Notamacropus eugenii: one gene and its partner. The protein of the gene in region 1 interacts with the protein of each later gene in a pairwise test. Links are inferred from orthologs where the notes say so. Each region holds a gene or a part of one and is shown on either strand. Other genes may lie near its edges. The genes, in order: BMX and PTPN21.

Region 1 (10,455 bases):
TGGATGGATATTGGTAAATAATGATGTTAATGTGAAAAAAGGAGAAAAGAAACAAACATCAATAAAATATTTTTAAAATACAAAGAAGAGAATAGGAGGAAGTTCAGAAGGTGACAGACAAACAGAACAGTTTTGTTACTATAGAGTTAAATACATGTAAACATACAAATATATACACATGTGTGTATGTATATGTGTATGTATGCATGAATACATATGTATATGTAAGAGAAATTTGCAGCTTTCAGTCTTCTGTTCTTATTCATCAAAATACTGTTGTTGTATTTAGAATAAAAAATAAAACTTAACAACAGAAAAATTATTGGCCTTGGAAAAAGAATTGAAAAAACATACCTACCTCCCTTCTTTGTAGAGGTGGGGGACCATGGGTGTGGAATACTGAACATACTGTCAGGATTAGTGTGTTGGTTGGTTTTGCTGAACTGCTTTTTAAAAAAACTTTCTTTTTTGGTTTAATCTGCATTATTAATGCTTTTTCCTTTCCTGTCTTTTTTAAAGGGTTTTTTTTTATTAATTTACTTATTTTTAGTTTTTTAACATTCACTTCCACAAGATTTTGAGTTCCAAATTTTCTCCCCATCTCTCTCCTCCTCCCACCCCAAGATGGCATCCATTTTGATTACCCCTTCCCCCAAACTGCCCATCCCTTCTCTTATCCTCTTCCTCTCTATTTTCTTGTAGGGTAAGATAGATTTCTATATCCCACTGCCTGTATGTCTTATTTCCCAGTTTCATGTCAAAACAAATTTTAACATTCATTTTTAAAACTTTGAGTTCCATTTTCTCTCTTCCTCCCTCCCTACCCGCCTACAGTGAGAAGGCAGGCAATTTGATATAGATTATACATATGTAGTCTTGCAAAACACTTCTGTAATAGTCATGTTGTGAAAGACTAATTCCCTCCACCCTAACCCCTCTCCCCCATTTATTCTATTATCTCCTTTGACCCTGTCCCTCCTCAAAAGTGTTTGCTTCTGATTACCTCCTCCTCCCATTTGCTGTCCCTTCTATCATCCCTGCCCCCTTATTATCCTCTCCCCACCTATTTTCCTGTAGGGAAAGATAGATTTTTATACCCAATTCAGTGTGTGTGTTATTCCCTCCTTAAACCACATCTGATGAGAGTAAGGTTCACTCATTCCCTCTCACCTCTCCCCTCTTCTCCATTGTAAAAGCTTTCTCTGGCCTCTTTTATGTGAGATAATTTACCTCATTCTACCTCTCCCTTTCTCCTTCTCCCAATACATTCCTCTTTCACCCCTTATTTTTATTTTTTAGATATCATCCTTTCATATTCAACTCACCCTGTGCCCTCTGTCTATATGTATATAATCTCATTTCTCTTCCCAATTTTTCCTCTATTTCTCTTACTTGGTTTTCAAAATCCTTCTTGACCTCTTCCATCACCTGAGACCAATTCATATTTTTCTTGGAGGTTTTGGATGTAGGAGCTTTGAGTTTGTTGTGTTCTGGTTGTATGTTTTGATCTTCCTTGTCACCAAAGTAAAATTCTGTAGTCTGATTTTTTCCCTGCTCTTTGCTCATTTTCCCAGCAAATTACTTGACTTTTTTAGTTCTTTGTCAAGGTAGGACTCTACTTCCAATATTAGGGTGTACTCTCCCAAGCTTTAGGAGTTTTGTGCAGCTGTTTTCATAAACACTTCTAGGGACCTGTACATTTTCACCTCTTCCAAGGTGATATGATCAAAGGAGAGGTGTTTATTCCTCTCCTGGCCTGTTTTCTGGTCTGTGAGTGACCTCAAGCATTCTTTTCTGCCTTGGAACTGTGAGGAGGATTCTCTCTCCACTGCCACCACAAGCTCCACCATACAAGCACTTCTCCTCACCCCAGGACTGCCCCTCAGGACTATGACCCAGATCCAGGCATGGGCAAAGCAAGAGAATCCTGCCTCAGCACAAGCAAAGAGATTCCTGCAATTCTGCTCTGATCAGTTGCTCTATCCCCCCACCATCTGTGGGCCAAGAATTGTGGATGCAGCCATTGCTGCTGCTGCTGCAGACCACCACCACCTTGTGTGGTGGGCCAGATTGCATTCCTCTTTCTCCCAGCTCTGATAGATTTCTCCTACTGACTTTCTAAGTTGTCTTTGGTGTTTTTGGGTTGAGAAGTCTGGAAACTGCCACAGCTGCAAGTGATTCAGTGTCCTAAGCCCTGTTCTGGTCTTGTCTGGGTCGCATAGCTCATGCTAGACTGTATTCTTCTCTCAGATTGGTGCAACAGACCTTTCGTTTTGACCTTCCAGGTTGTCATGGACTGGAAATTTGTTTCTCTCTGTGATTTTATGGGTTCTGCTGCTCTGGAATTTATTTAGAGTCATTTTTACAGGTCTTTGGAGGAGTCTGGGGGAGAGCTCAAGCAAGTCCCTGCTTTTACTCCACCATCTTGACTCTACCCCCAAAATAGCTTTCTTCTTTATTCTTTGTGACAAGAGATGGTTTGCAAGGTAGAGTGTCAGAAACAATATATTTTGAAATAAAGATGAGGCAAAAATAAGTGGTATTAATAAAACACTAAAAAATAAAGATAACTTCAGTACAACACAATACAATATTGTAGTACAGTGGTTAGAGTGCCAGTACTGGCACCAGAAGTCTTGAGTTTGAATCTGGCCTCAGACATTGAGCTGTGTAACTGGGCAAGTCACTTAACCTCTGTCTACCTTAGTTTTCCCATCTGTAAAGCAAGAATCATAATTTATCTGCCTTGCAGGCTCGTTGCTAGGATCAAATGAGATAATAATTGCAAAATGTTTAGCACAGTGCCTGCCACAGAGTAAGTGCTATATAAAGGCTACCTGCTATTATTATTGTTGTTGTTAATAGATGGGTAAAATTCCTACTCATTCTTAAAGTCTTTTTTTTTTTCAGTTGTCTCTGACTCTTTGTGAACCTCATTTGGGTTTTCCTTGGCAAGGATACTTGAGTAATTTGTCATTTCCTTCTCCAGTTCATTTTCCAGATGAGGAACTGAGGCAAACAGGGTTAAGTGACTTGCCAGGGGTCACACTGCTAGTAAGTGTCTGAGGCCAGATTTGAACTCAGGAAGAGGAATTTTCCTAAATCTAGGTCCAGTGCCCTATACACTGTGCCACGTAGCTGCCTACTCTTTTTTTTTAAATTTAGTATTTTATTTTTCCCCAGTTACATGTAAAAACAATTTTTAACTTTTGTTATTAAAACAAATTATCTCCCTTCCTCCCTTGCCCCCCATTGAAAAGGCAAGTAGATCTAAGTTATACATGTGTAGTCATGCAAATCATACTCATAATAGTCATATTGTGAAAGAAAACATAGACAAAAAAACTCAAGAAAAATAAAGCTAAAAAAGTATTCTTCAGTCTGTATTCAGACATTATCAGTTCTTTATCTAGGGGTAGATAGCGTTCTTCATCCTAAGTCTTTCAGACATGTCTTGGATTGCTGGATTGCTGAGAATAGCTAAGCCACTCACAGTTGATCATTTCACAATATTGCTGTTACTTTGTACAGAGTACATTTCACTTTGTATCAGCCATTCCAGTCGTTCTAGGCTTTTTGGAGAGCATCTTACTCATCATGTCTTATAGTACAATAGTATTCCATCATAATCACATACCACAACTTGTTCAGCCATTCCCTAATTGACGGGTATCCCCTCAGGTTCTACTTCTTAGCTGCCCTACTCTTGAAAGACTGCTTCAAATGTCATTTCACTTATGAGAGCCTTACTGATCCTCTCTGAACAGTAATGACTCGCTTCCCCACAGCACTCCCCACCCAGTCAAAGACGTGACTTGGGTTTAGACCTATAAGGCACCGTAGAGATTGGTTAGTCTAAACCCCTGGTTTTACAACTGAGAACACAGAAGTTACATGACTTGCCCAAAGTCACACAGGTAGTAAGTAGCAATCCAGGATTCCACTGACTCCAAATCTGGGGCTCTTGCCACTATACCAATTATATATGATGTAATATTTGGTAAATACATATTTATAAATTTTACATATATATAAATTACATATATAGAGGAAAATATTACATATATAAAAATATTACATATATATTTACTAGAAAAGGTAATGCTGCTTACCATCTAGAAGGTAGATATGACGTATATATGTATATATATATACACACACACACATAAATGTATGCTATATAAATACGTTATAGAAACAAACATAAGCAATGTGTATATGCTGTATAAATAAATATAGATATATGTACGTGTATACATGTATGTAAGCACTTACACATGCATATTGTATATTATCCCACCACACATAAACATTTATATATATTATACGCATTTATATATTATATATACATGTATGTCATATCTGTGTTCTAGATGTTAAGCAGCAGCTTTGCCTTTTCTAAATTTTCTTTCTCCTCCAGCACCAAGCACAGTTTAGTGCTTGATATATTCGTGTGGATTCTAATTGAATCAAATTATCCCAAATATGGATTGGAATCTAGAGTTGAGTCAACAGTGACATTTGGAACTTTTGCCTCCCAATGTAGTTCTGAAGCTACACTCTAGACTTGTTGGAATGAAAAGGATTAAGTAACTAGCCATTTAAAATAGTGTTACAACATGTGCCAAATGAATGATTTCTTTCCTTGGCTGCTCCCCCCTGTGCCCAAAAGGTGTTATGAGTAGTATCAGTGTGAGTGTTTTTACTTACGTCACCAAAACATTAGATTCTAAGACAACTATAGGCTGCATGATAATTACAGTGGTGAGAGATCTGACTTCTAAGTGACAACAACCTGGCTTCAAGACCCATCTGTTACAGGCACTGACTATGTGATTCTGAGCAAGTAACTCAGAGCCGCAGACAACTCCCTAAGACTATAAGTTACAGAGACTGTTTAGTAGAGGAAGTTCCTACACTGATGACATTACAGCTCTAGTCAGAAAACAAACTCGAAAAGAAATTATAAGATGAGCAAAGAAAAGTTGTAACAATGACATGATTCCATGATAAGAATGGTATGGTTACATGTTCCCCCAACCATTCATGGATATGCCCTATAATGTTGGTATACAACAAAAAACTAGAGAAAGGTATGTCCCCAGTTGTATTACTCAGTGCTCCAAACTATAGAAATATATTCCTTATGTGGGCAGCTAAGTGGCATAGTGGATAGAGTGCTGAGCCTGGTCAGGAAGACTCATCTTTCTGAGTTCCAATCTGACCTCAGACACTTCCTGGCTGTATGACCCTGGGCAAGTCACTTAACCCTATTTGCCACAGTTTCTTCATCTGTAAAATGATATCAAAAAATATCAAACCATTCCAGTACCTTTGCCAAGAAAACCACAAATAGGGTTATGAAAAGTGGAACACCACTGAAAACAACTGAACTGAATAACAACAAATGTCTTTAATCTGTCTACTCTACTTTATCTGTCCAAGTCTTGAGTTAACACTTACTGCTTATTCTCTGAGCTCTTTGGTCTTACCTAACTGCTTCCTGACTTGTATGTCAATGTCAGAAAGGGAGTTTTTGCCTAGATATTTTATTGTTCTTTTCATAAAAATGCTACATAAACAAAGGCAAGGCTGTTGAACTTTATTCAGTCATTCTACTCCCTCCCCAAACAGCCCTGTTACCTCTCTAAATTTAAATCTTTATAAAATGTGCTTTTACTTCTATTTTTGTTGAGTTCAATCAAATCAGCAAGCATTGGCCAAGTGTTGAGTGTGGTTTCCTGTAGGATTGTGTAAAGTCCTGCAGAACAATATTCACTTGGGGTGACTGAGTAATGTGGTTATTTCAGGCCTCCCAGTCAAAGAAACATGAGGAAGCCAGCTGGGACACGACAAAGGTGATCACTGCTTGTTTTCTTTCAACAATTATTGGATTATTCTGATTGGAATGGATTCCAATAAAATGGAGCCATCAGAAATGGTATGTAGCAGAGGTTGGTGGCAATGAAGTGTCTTTTATACAGGAACTTGGTAGAGTTCAAATTCTGGCTCAAGAGAGAGGTCAGCTGATGCTTGTACTGGCCTGAATTAAGTTTAGTGATAAATAAGTTTGGGATTTGCATTCTCTTTTCTGTTTTGTTCTGCTGGTTGTTTTTATTTTCTTTCTCAAACATACACCTTCTAACAGCTTCTGAAAGAAAAATGTCTCCTTATTTTCCCAGTGCTTTTTGTTAGATTGCTAACTTCTATAAATTGGTGAGTGTTTTCTTTTCTTTTTTTTAATACTGACTTTCTCTGTATGTGTGTGGTTTGTTATTTGATTTGTTTAGGGATTTTTTTTCCTAACGTTTGTTTTTAGTGGGGAGGAGAAAGAGAAAGAGGACAGTGGTTATGAAAATGAACCAGTCACGTGGCACGGTACAGAGGAAAATCATTGACTCTGAAATCAGGAAAATTGGTTCTGAATCATTCCTTGGAATTTCTTTCCCTTCCAGGCCTCTGTTTAAAATTGGGGAACTTAAAGTTCTCCAATATTACTTACCCATTTATAGAATTTATGAAGCGAAAGCAGCTCTGTGACCAAATAGATATTGTTTTTTCCTCATTGGATGTCTCTAACTAGTGATAAAAATATTGCGTTCTTAAAGCATTGGCTTAGCTATGACTTGACTGTTCAAGAGGCTTTAGTGGTTCCTCACTGCCAACAAGAGCAAATACATGCTACCGTATTTGACATTTAAATCCCTTCAAATCTGATATTCCTAGGAAGTACAAGGAATTAAATTAAAGAAGGGATTTTCATGTTGTTGTGTGTAAACTTTGTAACATAAAATAAAACATGTAGGATAGCAAAACCAATTACATAACTGATTTCAGTCAGCAAAAGATTTATATTTTTAAAAACAAAATGGCAGACCCCAGGTGAAGAACCTTTGAAATTAAAGGCATTCATCCTGAGGTATTAAGTGGATCACCATCTTCTACTTTTCTCCTTGACAAGGAAGACCAAAAGTAAAATCCCTTGATATTTGGGGGGGAAGAAAAGGGAGCAGGAGAGGACAGTGGTTTTAAAAGAAGGAAAAGTCTCAAAAGGGGAAGTAAAGTTGCTGAACAGGAACTTCAAGTACATCCCAATTTTGCCCAGGCCCACTCTAATTACTATAAGAAAGGAATTGGGTTTTGCCTTTTATATAAGAAAACAGATCTCCAAAGTAGTTGGTTCTCTAATAATAATAGCTAGAATTTGTATAATTCTTTAAGGTTTGCAAAGCCTTATTCATACACTGGATTTTCACCACCTATCTATCAGATTTATCCATCTGATTTATCTATCTTTTATCTCTCTGATCTATCTGTCCATCTGATTTTATCCTTGTAACAATCATGTGAAGGTCATCTCCATTTTTCAGCTGAGGAAACTGAGGCAAACAAGTGATGTGTCCAGGGTCACACAGCTATTAGATATCTAAGTTTGAATTTGAGCTCAGGGCTTCCTGACTCCAAGTCTAGCCCTCTTACCCCTTGTACCACCTACCTACCTCAATAAGTTGATAAGCAGAGAGTTAATTCGGGGCCAGTTGTATCAAGTAGCAGGAGGTTGGGCTGAAAAGTTAATATCTGTCAATATCTCATTTTCTTACTCCCAGTGCCTCTGTGATCTCATCTATGGGGGTGCTTCCCACATCAGAGTGCATTCACATCTGTTCCTCCTATCCCCTTCTTGTACTTAGTCTCCTATGGATTCTACAGAATATATTCTGCCACCAAGCTGGAAGACTTGTTTTATCTAATGGTTTCTGGGTACCAGTTCAGTACTAGGACTGCCTATCTGTTGTCCTTTCTGATTGCTGCTGACTTTTTCAGTTTTATGCTTTACAAATGATGATTCTTGGACCATTTCTTATGGATAGGTTATTTCAGGAAATCGGTCTTTGACTACGTATGTTCCCCTGAACCCTCCCCCACAATGGTCTGAATCTTCCTTTGTGTCACCTGCATTGATGGGGTGAGGAGGGGGGTAGAGGAAACACCACATGTTTTCCTCAAGGCTGTCCAGTTACCTTTCTTTTTTTAAATTTTATTTTAGACTCAAATACCAGAACAAAAATATAGAATAGAGAAAAGAAACAAAAATATATCATAAACTTAAATATTGGAACTTAAACACAAAGTAAGAAAGGAGAGGAAAAACATGTCATCTACATAGCAGCACATAAGAGAGGATTCAAAATATGTGACAGTAATGCTTCCATTTATTCAATTCTGGCACCAGGCTATTGTCCATCTGCCGCACATTACATAAACACTTCTGTTATCTACATCTTTAGTACAATGTAGGCATTATGTCATTATCATGCCGAGCACAATTGTCGCTTTTCTCTCTAGTACCTGATAGCATCCAATAATAGAATGCAGTTAGGGAGGAAAAACATTAAGAATGCTTGCGACAGCTTCTTTGTAAAAAATAATAATAGTGTTTATTTATAGAATGCTTTAAGGTTTGCAAAGCACTTTACAATGATTATCTTATTTGATCCTTACAACCCTGAGAGGTGGGTGCTATTATTATCCCTATTTAAGAGGAATCTGAGGCGCATAGATTTCAGCTAGTAGGTGTCTGAGGTTATATTTGAATTCAGAACTTCTTCCTTACCGACGTGTTGTCTTCACTGAGTGGTCTGAAAGACAAGTATAATTTAGAGGAGAGGAGCTCTGAATTTAGAACAAAAGCCATAGCTAGCTATGGCTTTGCACCAGGGTGTTGAATTTAAAGGGTCCTGACATTCCTTGCATGCCTTCAGAAGCTAGAAAAACTGAAGTTAGCACCAACTTACCAAGAATAATTAATTAATATAGGAAACTGCTTCCTCGTGTGAACCCCAGATACTGTCCACCTTGGCTCAGACCTTCCTTGCTCTCCCCATCCTGCTTTCCCTGAGATCCCACAATATGTTCCTCATTTTCCTCAATCGTAAATTGAGGGGGTTTGAACAATGATACCATCCCATTCAAAAACCCTATTGAATATTTTTTTTTTTTTTGTAATTTTGTTTTGAGAGGCAGAGCGGATAAGGAATCAGCAAGATCCAAGTTCAAAGCTGGCGTTAGACACTTACTATCTGTGTGACCCTGGTCAAGTCACTTCACTTCTGTTGGCTTCAGTTTCCTCATCTGTGAAATGGGGATAATAATAGTAACTACCTCCCAGGGTTGTTTGTGAGAATCAAATGAATTAATTGTAAAATGCTTAGTGCAGTATCTGGCACACAGTAAGCTCATGTAAATAGCTATTTTCTCCTTTTTCCTTCCCCTTGTTTTGTTTGAATTCTCTATTTTATTTTTGTTCAGTCTTTTAGTCGTAAAATAGTAAGAAGAAATGGCCCATGGCAGAATTCTGAAGGAGGTAGATGTTGTGTTGTAGTGACCTCTACTTCCCATTTCAGTATTCTTTGCCCCACTTGCAGTATCTTCTGCCTTTCCTGGTTACAATAATGATCAGTGCTCAAAAGGCCTTTTTGTTCTTTTTTACCTTTTCTCTATTAAAACCTACTCTTAACCAACAGCCTCATTTTAAATGTGTAAATGACAGTTAATAGTTTAAAGAGTTATTCCTCTTAGGGATGTATGGATTTTAATCATTGAACAACTGCATGATTTTTCAGGCAAGAGTGCAGGAAGGCTACTAGGAGGAACTATTATATTATATTAGGGCTATAATAGGACTATTCTGCAACAGGCTACTCCTAGACATGAGCTATCTTTAGCTTTGTTTTCTCTGTCTTTCTTGGAGGATATGCTCTGCTTTAGGAGCAGAATTATTATTTGTTTGTAAAGTTAATCCTGGATTCATGTGTGATGCTGTCTTTAGGAATCCAGATGTGGGTAAGAAGGTCTTTGGGGGGTGATTCCATTAGGAAGGGAAGCAGAAGGGGAATATAAAGAACCTATTATGTTCTGGGTACTGTAAAAAGCACTTTACAACTATCTCATTTGACCTTCACAACTATGCTGAGAGATAGGTGCTATTATTATTTCCATTTTACAGATGAGAAAACTGAGGCAAATGGAGGCTAAGTGACTTGTTCAGGGTCACAGCCCACTAGTAAGTGTCTGAAGGTGGATTTGAACTCAGGTCTTCCTGACTTGAGACACAGAGATCTATCCATCTATGGGAAAATCCCCTTTAGACAGGGTCTATGATAGACCCAAACATGTATTAAGTTGTACTTTTGATGGATTGCATTACAGAAAGGCTTTAGTGTATTTGACTAACAGAATATATCCTCTTCAAATATTCCACTACCTTTGTTAGACTGTCCCATCCTGCAGAGTTGGATTTGCTTATGCATTGACATAAGTTCCCTAATTCAGCCATCAGTACAATATCTTTGTATTATGCCATGTAACTGTAGTTCCTCAAAGCCTTCAGAGAAAATACAATTCATCTCTGTAGCATGCTCTACCCTCTATTTGTCTCCCAAGCTCTTGAGTGTT
Region 2 (10,727 bases), on another chromosome or scaffold:
GTTATTTAGGGTCTCAGATACCTAGGCTGAAGTAGCTGGGTGGTCTAGCTAGACCTTATTCGAATCCTGACTTAAATGCTTGCTAGCTCAGTCTCGGTTTCCTCATGTGTAAAACTGGTTATAACTGCAGCACCTACCTCACAAATTTGGTTGAGTTCAATTCAATAAACATTCATTAAGCGCCTGCTACGTGCCAGACACTGTGCTAAGCGCTGAGGATACAAAAAGAGACAAAAGACAGTCCCTACCTTCAAAGATCTTACAATCGAATGGTAAAGAAACAAACAAGAAAGTATATACAAAGAAAGCTACATAAAAGATAAATAGGAAATACTTAACAGAGGTTAAGGCACCAGAATTAAGGAGGGGTTGGGAAAGGCTTCCTGTAAAAGATGGGATTTTAGTTGGGATTTAAAGGAAACCAAGGAGGTCAGTAGTCAAAGTGGAGGAGGAAGAACATTCTTGACATTGAGAATACCCAAAATGAATGCCTAGTGTGGAGAGATGCAATTGGTGTACGAATCAAAGGAGAATTTATGTAAAGTCCTTTCTTTATGAACCCTGAAACATTATATATAGATGATTATTATTAGGTTATGGATGGGGTGAAGAGAGAAGGAAAGAGGGAGAGGGCAGAAAAGTCTTGTCTTGATCAAATGACTTAATATACGTAAAGGATTTTGTAAACATTAAAGGGCAATATAATTGTCAACTAAGAATCCTTGGGGAGGTAACCCAATCTGGTATCCTACTGATACAAGACCTTGGGTAAATCACTTTCCCCCCTAGGTATTTGTTTCCTCTAATTGAAAATGGTACTAATGCTATACTTGTACTACATCCCTCAATGGATGGTTAACTGTTTAAACATTGTGGTTAAATAACTATAGATTTATTTAATTAAGGACACAACCAGTGGACACCAAGACTTTCATGTGATTTGGAATGTATACTCTAGTAGAGAGTAGAGTCTACACCATCCCTCAGAACAAGAGATCCAGAACCTCTATCCTTGAACTGGTCCAAAAAGGAGGAGTGGGGGTGGAGGTGAGGAAACTAAGAGGATGAAAGAAAAGGAAGGCAAAGAGGAAAATGGCACAGGTTCCCACCGATTACCAAATCTTTGCAATAATTAAGGAAGACCAAGTAAAAGGCACCATACAAGTGAGGAAATTTTAAAAATATGATAGAAAGTATGGACCCCACCTTGGAGAGGTTTACAATACAGCTTAACCTACTAGGTAAGAGAAATGGACCAAAGTAATATTAGTTCTTAAGCATATATTTTCCCCACTACTGACCAGTGAAGCTATATAGGTAACAATAAACTTGTAACTTGAAAACTACCAGGAAAACCAATGCTAAGGTCTATGCAGATGTGTAAGTCTCATGATAACTAAAGACAAGTATACTTATAAACCATAAAAATATAGGTTTCTAATACTTTAAAGTGCTTAGATAGTAATGCTATGTAAACTTTGGGGAGGGGGAGGAGGCAGATGCCAGCTTCTTTGATAAGAAGTTGGAGAGAAATAGCCTATCATACAGCTATAAAGGTAAGAGCTATTGAAAGGATGGAGATTGTCAATCTACAGCAAAAATCTTTTACAAGGTCTTACTCAGTATTTTTGTTAAATGTCTGGTTATAATTTTCTCAAAAAAGTTTCCATGATATCATTAAGTAATAAATTTAAATTTCAATATGAAAACTATGGAACAGTCCTTAAAAAACAAATAGACTGGGACAAGTAGTAGCAAAAGATGAAAAACAAGACATTTGTCTATATGAAGAGGGAATACAAATATTTGTATTCTGGGATGTTCCAGATATTGTGCTCTTTTCACTTCAAAGAAACAAATGACTAAGCCTTGAAGGCAACAGATACTATACTATATAACTTAATTATTAACTTTAGCATCAGATTAAGTAAATGGAGCAAAAATGGGGGGGGGGAGTAGGAGGAGGAGACACTCAAAAGTTTGAAGAGTTTTTTTTTACAACCTCACTAATAATAAAAATAAATATTTTTCATCTATTGTATTTTTTTAGCATGAAAACAATATTTTCTTAAACTAGGTATAATTTCCCCTCAGAGCTAACCACTGTTAAAAGTGTCTTAGGGATGGGGGGGGAATGAGGAGAGTGTTTGCTGGGAGGAAATCTTTTATAAGAAAAGAACAGACTCTGTTTTAAAAATGATGCTCTACTTAACCCAAAGCTTATGTCCTTGTTTTGTAATGCATATTGTACATAGGGTTTAAGAAACTTTATATGGTTAAGGACTCTAATAAAACCAAGTTGAGTAGACTCTGAGAGCAACTTTTGTCTATTTTAGGAATAACTTGAGATGTTTTTCTCAATATGCCATAAGTAAATTTTTAAAAGACTCATGATATTTGTTGATCTAGTTAAACACTCTGTTGACCAAAGTTTTCATATTATTTACAGACAGTTGCTTTGGGATGATTCACAGGTGATATCTATAATGGATACTTACTTATTTCTACACTAAAATTTTAAAACTGAAAGGTTTGAGCATTAAAGAAGACAAAATGCATAGAAAAAGTAATAAACGTTTCATTTCATAGAAACTCTTAAGCCCAGGTAGATCTGCTTCTGTAAGGAGGATATTTTAGTTCTTTGATTATTCCCAACAATCACAAAGTTTCTTGAAATATAACTGTTTATTTTGTGAAGCTTTTCCTTATTAAGGCTTCATCTCATTTAAAATTTGCAATAAGTACCTGAAAATAAGCAGCAATTAAAGTGTTATCTATCAGTAAGAAGGCAACAACATTTATTAACTCCACTGCTTTGAACTGTAACCTGTTTCCTATAAGACAAAAATATCCATACAAGCAAATGCAAAAACTTCAGAATAAATTTCCTTGCTTGCACTATGTTTACTGTTGTCCAAATACAACTGTTATATCCGAAATTAAAAGCTGTTTTTTTTTTAATCTAGCAGCTGTCATTTAGTGTTAGGCTAACAGCCGGTGTCATTTTGATCACATGGAATTTTTTTTAAATGTGCACACACACGCACACATGCACTATTATAAGGCGTTATCAGCAAAAAGAAAATGGAACCAGCATGCCAAAAGTATCTAATCAGTATCCGCCGAAATCACAAGTCTGAATTTAGCAAACCTAGGAATTTCTCTCCCCACAGTAACCACACTCCCCTTAAGCAAAATAAAACAAAAACTCCTCCTCCTCTCTCTCCCCTACTGAAAGTTTTTATTTGCCAAACTCAACAAGTATGCACCATTTTAGCAGACTGAAATGTAGCCAGAATTAACTACCTGGTTTGGAATTAGACCCTAAAAAGATAAACTGAATCAAAATACAAGCGAAAGTGCTCTCTTCATAAAATTTAATAGACAAGTCAGTGGAGTGGAGCATGAAAACGAAGAATTTCTTAGTGAAACGTTATCTCTTCGAGAATAGCGATTTCCAGGACTAATAAAATGTACACAGAAGAAACCTACTCACGAGAGAAAATGCCACTAAGTTACACAGTCTGCCTCTCAGGAACTGAGAGGAAACTGTATCAAACAAAAAGAGCCCGGGGAGGCTCCTGTGGTCTCCTCTTGTCCATTACTTACTTACTTACTTACTTACCTGTTGCAGTGATCCAGCTGAAGAGGTTCTGAGGTCACGCATCCTCAGCTACAAAACGCAAACAGTTCGGGTTCTCCCCTGGAAGACATCTCTCACCGGTCTTCCTTCACAAGGGTCTCAGTGCGTCCCCTGGGTCGAGAAGGGCATGCCAGGCTCCCCTCCAACTCAGTCATACTGAAAACATTCCTCACTTCCTGTCTCAGAAAACTTGGTCTGTGTATCATTCCACTAGGTAAGGACTCGCAGGAGGGCGGGCGGCCACCGAGCGCTCGAGGGAGCTCCTGCAGGCGAGCGATCGAGAGGGGGGTGGGGGGAGCTCCTGCGGGCGAGTGATCGGAGGGAGCCGGGCTTGTGCGAGAGCCGGGGTCCGCGAGCAGGGCTACACAAAGGCACCCCGGTCGGTGAACTTGGCAATCATCTCCCGGCTCCAAGCAGGACAGAAGGGGGTCTCTTGTGGAGGAGAAACGAAGTTGTAGGATCTTGAGGCTCCTTTTCTTTGCTCCTATCCGATCGGACTCTCGCTGGGTAGTGAAGGTGCAAGTGCCCTGGGAGGCGTTACTTGTTCCATCCACGCGGACGGATACGGAGAGAGGGAGCGAAGAGCCCGTATGCTTGCAGTCCATGACCTCAGAGAGTTGGAATGTCAGGGCCGGGGAATGTCAGCGGCGGGACAGCTGCCGCGCCTGCTGTGGGGGCATTACAGAAATAGGGGGTTACAACGAATCGTTTCCTTTTTTAATCATATGACCACTTATTTTAAGGCTTCCCAAATGAAGCAGGACTTTTTATAAAATACAATGGGGATATTATTTCTGTGGCAAATAGTTAGATCTTTTGGACTGTGTAAAATGCTATCACCAATTTGCTGTAATAATTTGCTACTTATTTTTCTATATGGCTACTTTTATAATTACTTCTTGAGAAAGCTATGACTCTCCTGAAATCGGATACTAAGTTACTTTCTTTTTTTACGCTCTCAGGACTACCAGATATGACTGCCCAAAAAAGACATTCTCCAATTCGAGAATTTTGTAATACTTATTTAAAGAAAATATTTCATATAATATATGCATATAGAGTCTATTGAAAGAAAACTCAATTATTTGTATAACAGACTATCACGATAATCTTCCATCTCTGCTTTTTAAAACAAAGAGAGAATGGTTCTGGAAAATGAGAGAATTAATAGTTTAATGTAAGCTAATTTTGACTTAAGTTATTTTTAAATCTCTATCAGTTCAGAAAAAACTTTTTTTTAATCACAGCATGGTTTTATAAAGGAAAGTTAGCCTAAATTGAGTAAACTCATTCTTTCCAGGGGACATCAAGGTTAATTTGTATGTTTGGAAGAAGAGTCCTATGGAGGTCTCTTCCATATGACTTTGAAGCCAGAAAGTGCTTTTCAAACTTAAAGTACTGTATAAATATTAAATATCATCATTGTCATCATAATTATCTTTCATTCTTCCTTCTTTTCCCCTATATCTAATCAGTTTTCATACCCTGACATCTCTTCTTTTGATTTGTTGTTTATTTATTTGTTTTAAATTCCACCTTCTCTGTATCCACTCCAAGATCCTTAACATCATCACAATTGCATTATGTTTACTGAATTATTGCAAATCTCCAAGCTAATTTCCCTTCCTTCAGTTCCCCTCTCTGTTCCTTCCTCCCCCCAAGTCAATGCTGCATATTGGTGGCTAGGTAATCTTCCTAAAATATTGTTTTCATAATGTCACTCCTTTGCTCCCTTGTTCCCTCGGGAGACATCAGATCACTACTACCATTCCTGGAAAGTTCAAGTCAATCAATTGCCCTATAGCTCTATTTAACATCTAAGTGACTTCTCAATCCCAAACACCTCTTTCCCTAACTACAGTTAGGCTATATGTATATAGTCTTCCGTTATCAGAATGTAAAATCCTTAAGGACAGGCACTCTTTCTGTTTGTATTTGTATCTCAAGGTTTCAACACCTTGCCCTGAGCAAAATAAGCCCTAATAAATGCTTTTTCATTTCTTTCTTTCTTTCATTATTAAAGAACCTATAACTCATTGCTTTGGCAATTTGAAACCTCTTCATGCCTTCTCAGAATAATGTTTTTAAGGATGTAAAATAAAATATTCAGGATTATGAAGAAAGCAAATTCTGTTGAAATAAAGATACTTTTTTCCCCAATAGAACTTCATTAGATTTCCTGAAATCTAAAGATCCTTGCTATAACAGATTCCCTCTCTCTTACCTGACTTTTGGGACCCTCTGTAATCCGGCCGAAATCTACCTATTCAATCTTATTTCTACTGCTTGGTGTGGTACAGAAGATACATTACTAAATTTGGAGCCAGAGGGCTTGAGTTCAGACTGTAACTCTGTATGACCAAGGGATAAAACACAACTGCTCCAGACCTCAGTCATTTACATCCTGAAGACTGTGCTGCTTCCAATTCTAAATCTATGATCCATTTCTCCCAATATACTTTTTGCTCCAGTAAAAGGTCTCTCCAGGTCTCTTGTAATATACAAGTTTTAGTTACACTTTTTTGTGTTTGCTCACTTTGCTTTCTCTACCTAAAATTATTCACACAGATATGTCATGGAGGACTTCTGAAGCAATCATTTGCGTACGTAACTGATGCATTCCAAAAGTGGAAGAAACTGGGAACTCTGCTTTTGGAGAAACAACATGATGCATAATGGAAATGCCTTGCTCCTAAATTGGAACATGTGCAAATATTTTGTAATTGGTTCTGGTCTGGTAACCACATGTTGAAGAGAAAGATTTTGATTGCTGTGTAGCCAGAAGTGGGGTGGGGACCTTCAATAGGTAATAGTCTACCAGTCAGTCGTTTTTGGTCTGACTCTTTGCTACATGGCTATATTCAGGTGAGAGAAGACAGTAGTGTTGTAAAGGGAAAGGTCTGAGGCCCTGCACATCTAAGACTAAGTGTGCTGTGAGTATGGGCTTCAGCTCTTTGCCTTTGTATTTATTTTTCTGCTTCTCAATTAAGGAGACTAGACATAGCTACTACCTAATGAGCTTCAAAAAATCTGAAGAGTGAGCCACTAGAAAGGAGGTCCTAGAATGGAGCATATGATGCATCTGGAGTCTAGATTCTAGACAGTTCAAGACCAAAGCTCCCCTGAATGGGTAAAGGAACAATCTTTAGGAATTAGTCCAGTACAAGCTAAAACAAAGACAGCCAGTATTAATGCTGTATTGGGATATAAATTTGGTGGGACCTACACTATTAAAAAACCACTGTATGGTCATTTTGCATGATTACACACATATTAACTATATTGGATTACTTACTATCTCAGGGAGCAGGAAGGAAGGGATAGAAATTGTAACTCAAAACTTTTTTAAAATGTTAAAATTGGAGGGAAATAAAATGTATATAAAAACACTTGTTGACAGGTTAAAAAAAATAAAACTTACTGGAAAAAACACTGCACTGTCTGAGTCATTCCCCTCAGAGACAAAAGGTGTGACTCCCACTAAAAGTTGGAAGGGGTAGATGTTTGTACTTCTGTTCTTGCTATATCTGCAAAATAATTGTCACTTAGAAACCTATTGATGTGGAAACTGTGGTGTTAATGACTGGCAATTTATAATGGAATGAGGAGTGGGGGATTGAGCTAATAACATTAGAAAAAATGCCTTCAGTCTTCCAGGAGAACACCCTAGAAACTCGAAAGGGAGAAGTATATATATATATATATATATATATATATATATATATATATATATATATATATATATATATATATATATATATATATATATATATATATATATATATATATATACATATATATATATATATATACACATGCACACACACATATTATATGTATGCATGTCTGTGTCTGTATGTGTGTCTATAGCCTAATAGCTTGGGGAGCACAAGTACTCTGAGAGAGTAGGATTTGGAATGAGATTTCTCAGAACTTATATGTATGGGCTACGTACGTAGTACACTAAAATTCTTAACCTACAAGGGAGGTTGTACAAATATTATTGACCTTTTTGTAGATAAGGAAATTGATTATCTGAGAGATTATAACATTTTCCTATGTTCACTCAGTTAGTAAATGTACTAACCTGGATGGAAACCTCAAGTGTCTTGAATCTGAGTTGAACACTTTTCCAGCTGTACCAGACTGTATTCCTTCCATTTTCACAAATCCTACTCTTCAAGGTCTGGCTTTCCTTGAATCTAAAGTCAATATAACATTTTGGTCAGTCATTTCAGTCATGTCTGACTCTTCATGTTCCTATTTTGGGGCTTTGTTGGCAAAGCTACTGAAGTGTTTTGCCATTTCCTTCTCTAGCTCATTTTACAGATGAGGAAACTGAGGCAAACAGGGTTAAGTGACTTGCCCATGGTCACATAGCTAGTAAATGTCTGAAGCCGGATTTGAATTCAAGAAGATGAGTCTTTTTGACTCCAGGCTGGACACTCCTCTATTCACTATGTCATCTAGTTACCTCCAATACAACATAGTTTCACATTTAATTGTTCTCTAATTTATACTATTTTTGTCTGCCAAGTTAGATTGTAAGCTGCTTAAGTGCTTATTTCATTTGTATCTATAGTCAGCACACAAGCCCAGGAGTCAAGAGATAGGAGTTTGAGTTCCTCTTTACAATTAAATGTCTTTGTGATTGTGGGGAAGTTATTTAATGTCCATGAAACTCAGGTACCCTAGCTCCAAAATAAGAGAAGTTAAATTAGATAATAACAAAAGATCCTCCCAGTCCTTTTAATAACTCAGTCATAACAAAGATGATTGAAAAGGTAAATGAAAAACAACATGATCTAGTTGAAAGAGCACCTGATTTGGAGTCAGAAAACCTGGTTCTGTTATTTACAACCTGAGTAATCTTGAGCAGGTTGCCTAACTCATCTGTGCCTCAGTTTCCTCAACTATATAATAATGGATCTTTACTCCTGTATCTCTAAATCTTGTGATCCTAATTATGGTCATAAATACCCTTGTAACTCTTGTAATCTTATGACAGATGTGCCCAGCCCAAAAAAAAGGTGGAATTTTGTTTCGTTTTTAAAATGTGTATTTCTAAAAGAAAGTTGATTGTTGAATTTTTTTAAAAGTTGTTAGGTTTGGGGGGTTTTTTTCGTTGATGAGTAAAAATAATATCCTTTATGACCAAATATTCATAAAAACAATTATTAAAATAAGTTCCTTAGGTGCATATCCTAGTGTACTGTGTAGGTCTATGCCCCTAATATGTACTTGACAACAGAGTTGTAATAGGAACAATATTCTCACCCCTCTTCCATGAAGGTTAGATTCATTTTCCCTTAAAAGTTAATACTTTTCTTTAATAGCTTTTTCTTTTTAATAGCTTTCCTCAAGAGTTGGTTTGCTCAAGGTACTAAAGGCTCCAACTGTTGACCTAAGTACAAAGCAGCCATGAGGAACTCTAGGGATTCTCTGACACTTGACCGGTGGATCTCAGTGGGTAACTTGGGATAGGGAAATTGGTTCAGGTGAATCAAGCAGAGATGTCCCCAATTCCTATCTTTGGTAAATATTCTTCTCTTTTTTAAAAAAATTTATTTATTTAACTTTTAACATTCATTTTCACAAAATTTTGGGTTCCAAATTTTCTCCCCATTTGTCCCCTCCCCACCCCAAAACACTGAGCATTCTAATTGCCCCTATCACCAATCTGCCATCTCTTCTATCATCCCTCCCTTCCCTTGTCCCCATCTTCTTTTTTGTCCTGTAGGGCCAGATAACTTTCTGTACCCCATTACCTGTATTTCTTATTTCCTGGTAGCAAGAACAGTACTTGACAGTTGTTCCTAAAACGTTGAGTTCCAACTTCTCTTCATCCCTCCCTCCCCATCCATTCCGTTTGGGAAGGCAAGCAATTCAATATAGGCCATATCTGTGTAGTTTTGCAAATGACTTCCATAATAGTCATGTTGCGTAAGACCAACTATATTTCCCTCCATCCTATCCTGCCCCCCATTGCTTCTATTCTCTCTTTGGATCCTGTCCCTCCCCAAGTGTTGACTTCAAATTGCTCCCTCCTCCCACTGCCCTCCCTTCCATCATCCCCCCCACCCTGCTTGTCCCCTTCACCCCCACTTTCCTGTATTGTAACATAGGTTTTCATACCAAAATGAGTGTGCATTTTATTCCTTCCTTTAGTCGAATGTGATGAGAGTAAACTTCATGTTTTTCTCTCACCTTCCCTCTTTTTCCCTCCACTAAAAAGTCTTTTGCTTACCTCTTTTATGAGAGATAATTTGCCCCATTCCATTTCTCCCTTTCTCCTCCCAATATATTTCTCTCTCACCCCTTAATTTCATTTTTTTAAGATATGATCCCATCCTGTTCAATTCACTCTGTGCTCTCTGTCTCTGTGTGTGTGTGTGTGCGTGTGTGTGTGTGTGTGTGTGTGTGTGTGTGTGTGTATAATCCCACCCAGTACCCAGATACTGAAAAGTTTCAAGAGTTACAAATATTGTCTTTCCATATAGGAATGTAATCAGTTCAACTTTAGTAAGTCCCTTATGACTTCTCTTTGCTGTTACCTTTTCATGCTTCTCTTCATTCTTGTGTTTGAAAGTCAAATTTTCTTTTCAACTCTGGTCTTTTCATCAAGAATGCTTGAAAGTCCTCTGTTTCATTGAAAGACCATTTTTTCCCCTGAAGTATTATAGTCAGTTTTGCTGTGTAGGTGATTCTTGGTTTTAGTCCTAGTTCCTTTGACTTCTGGAATATGATATTCCCTGCCCTTTGATCCCTTAATGTAGAAGCTGCTAGATCTTGTGTTATCCTGATTGTATTTCCACAATACTTGAATTGTTTCTTTCTAGCTGCTTGCAATATTTTCTCCTTGACCAGGGAACTCTGGAATTTGGCCACAATGTTCCTAGGAGTTTCTCTTTTTGGATCTCTTTCAGGCGGTGATCTGTGGATTCCCTGAATACTTATTTTGCCCTCTGGTTCTAGAATCTCAGGGCAGTTTTCCTTGATAATTTCATGAAAGATGATGTCTAGGCTCTTTTTTTGATCAAGGCTTTCAGGTAGTCCCATAATTTTTAAATTGTCTCTCCTGGAT

Evidence for each region.
Region 2: the proteins of BMX (region 1) and PTPN21 interact in binary tests that used the Homo sapiens proteins (3 or more experiments, as listed by UniProt). The link is inferred for Notamacropus eugenii from reciprocal best matches to the Homo sapiens genes BMX and PTPN21.

What each region holds. Positions count from the first base shown.
Region 1 is NC_092876.1:374,582,759-374,593,213, reverse strand, and holds the start of BMX (cytoplasmic tyrosine-protein kinase BMX), read left to right. Parts: upstream 1-5,812; 5' UTR 5,813-5,908; coding exon 5,909-5,941; intron 5,942-10,455. UniProt on the Homo sapiens protein: Non-receptor tyrosine kinase that plays central but diverse modulatory roles in various signaling processes involved in the regulation of actin reorganization, cell migration, cell proliferation and survival, cell adhesion, and apoptosis.
Region 2 is NC_092878.1:76,509,930-76,520,656, forward strand, and holds the start of PTPN21 (tyrosine-protein phosphatase non-receptor type 21), read right to left. Parts: upstream 4,200-10,727; 5' UTR 3,626-4,199; intron 1-3,625.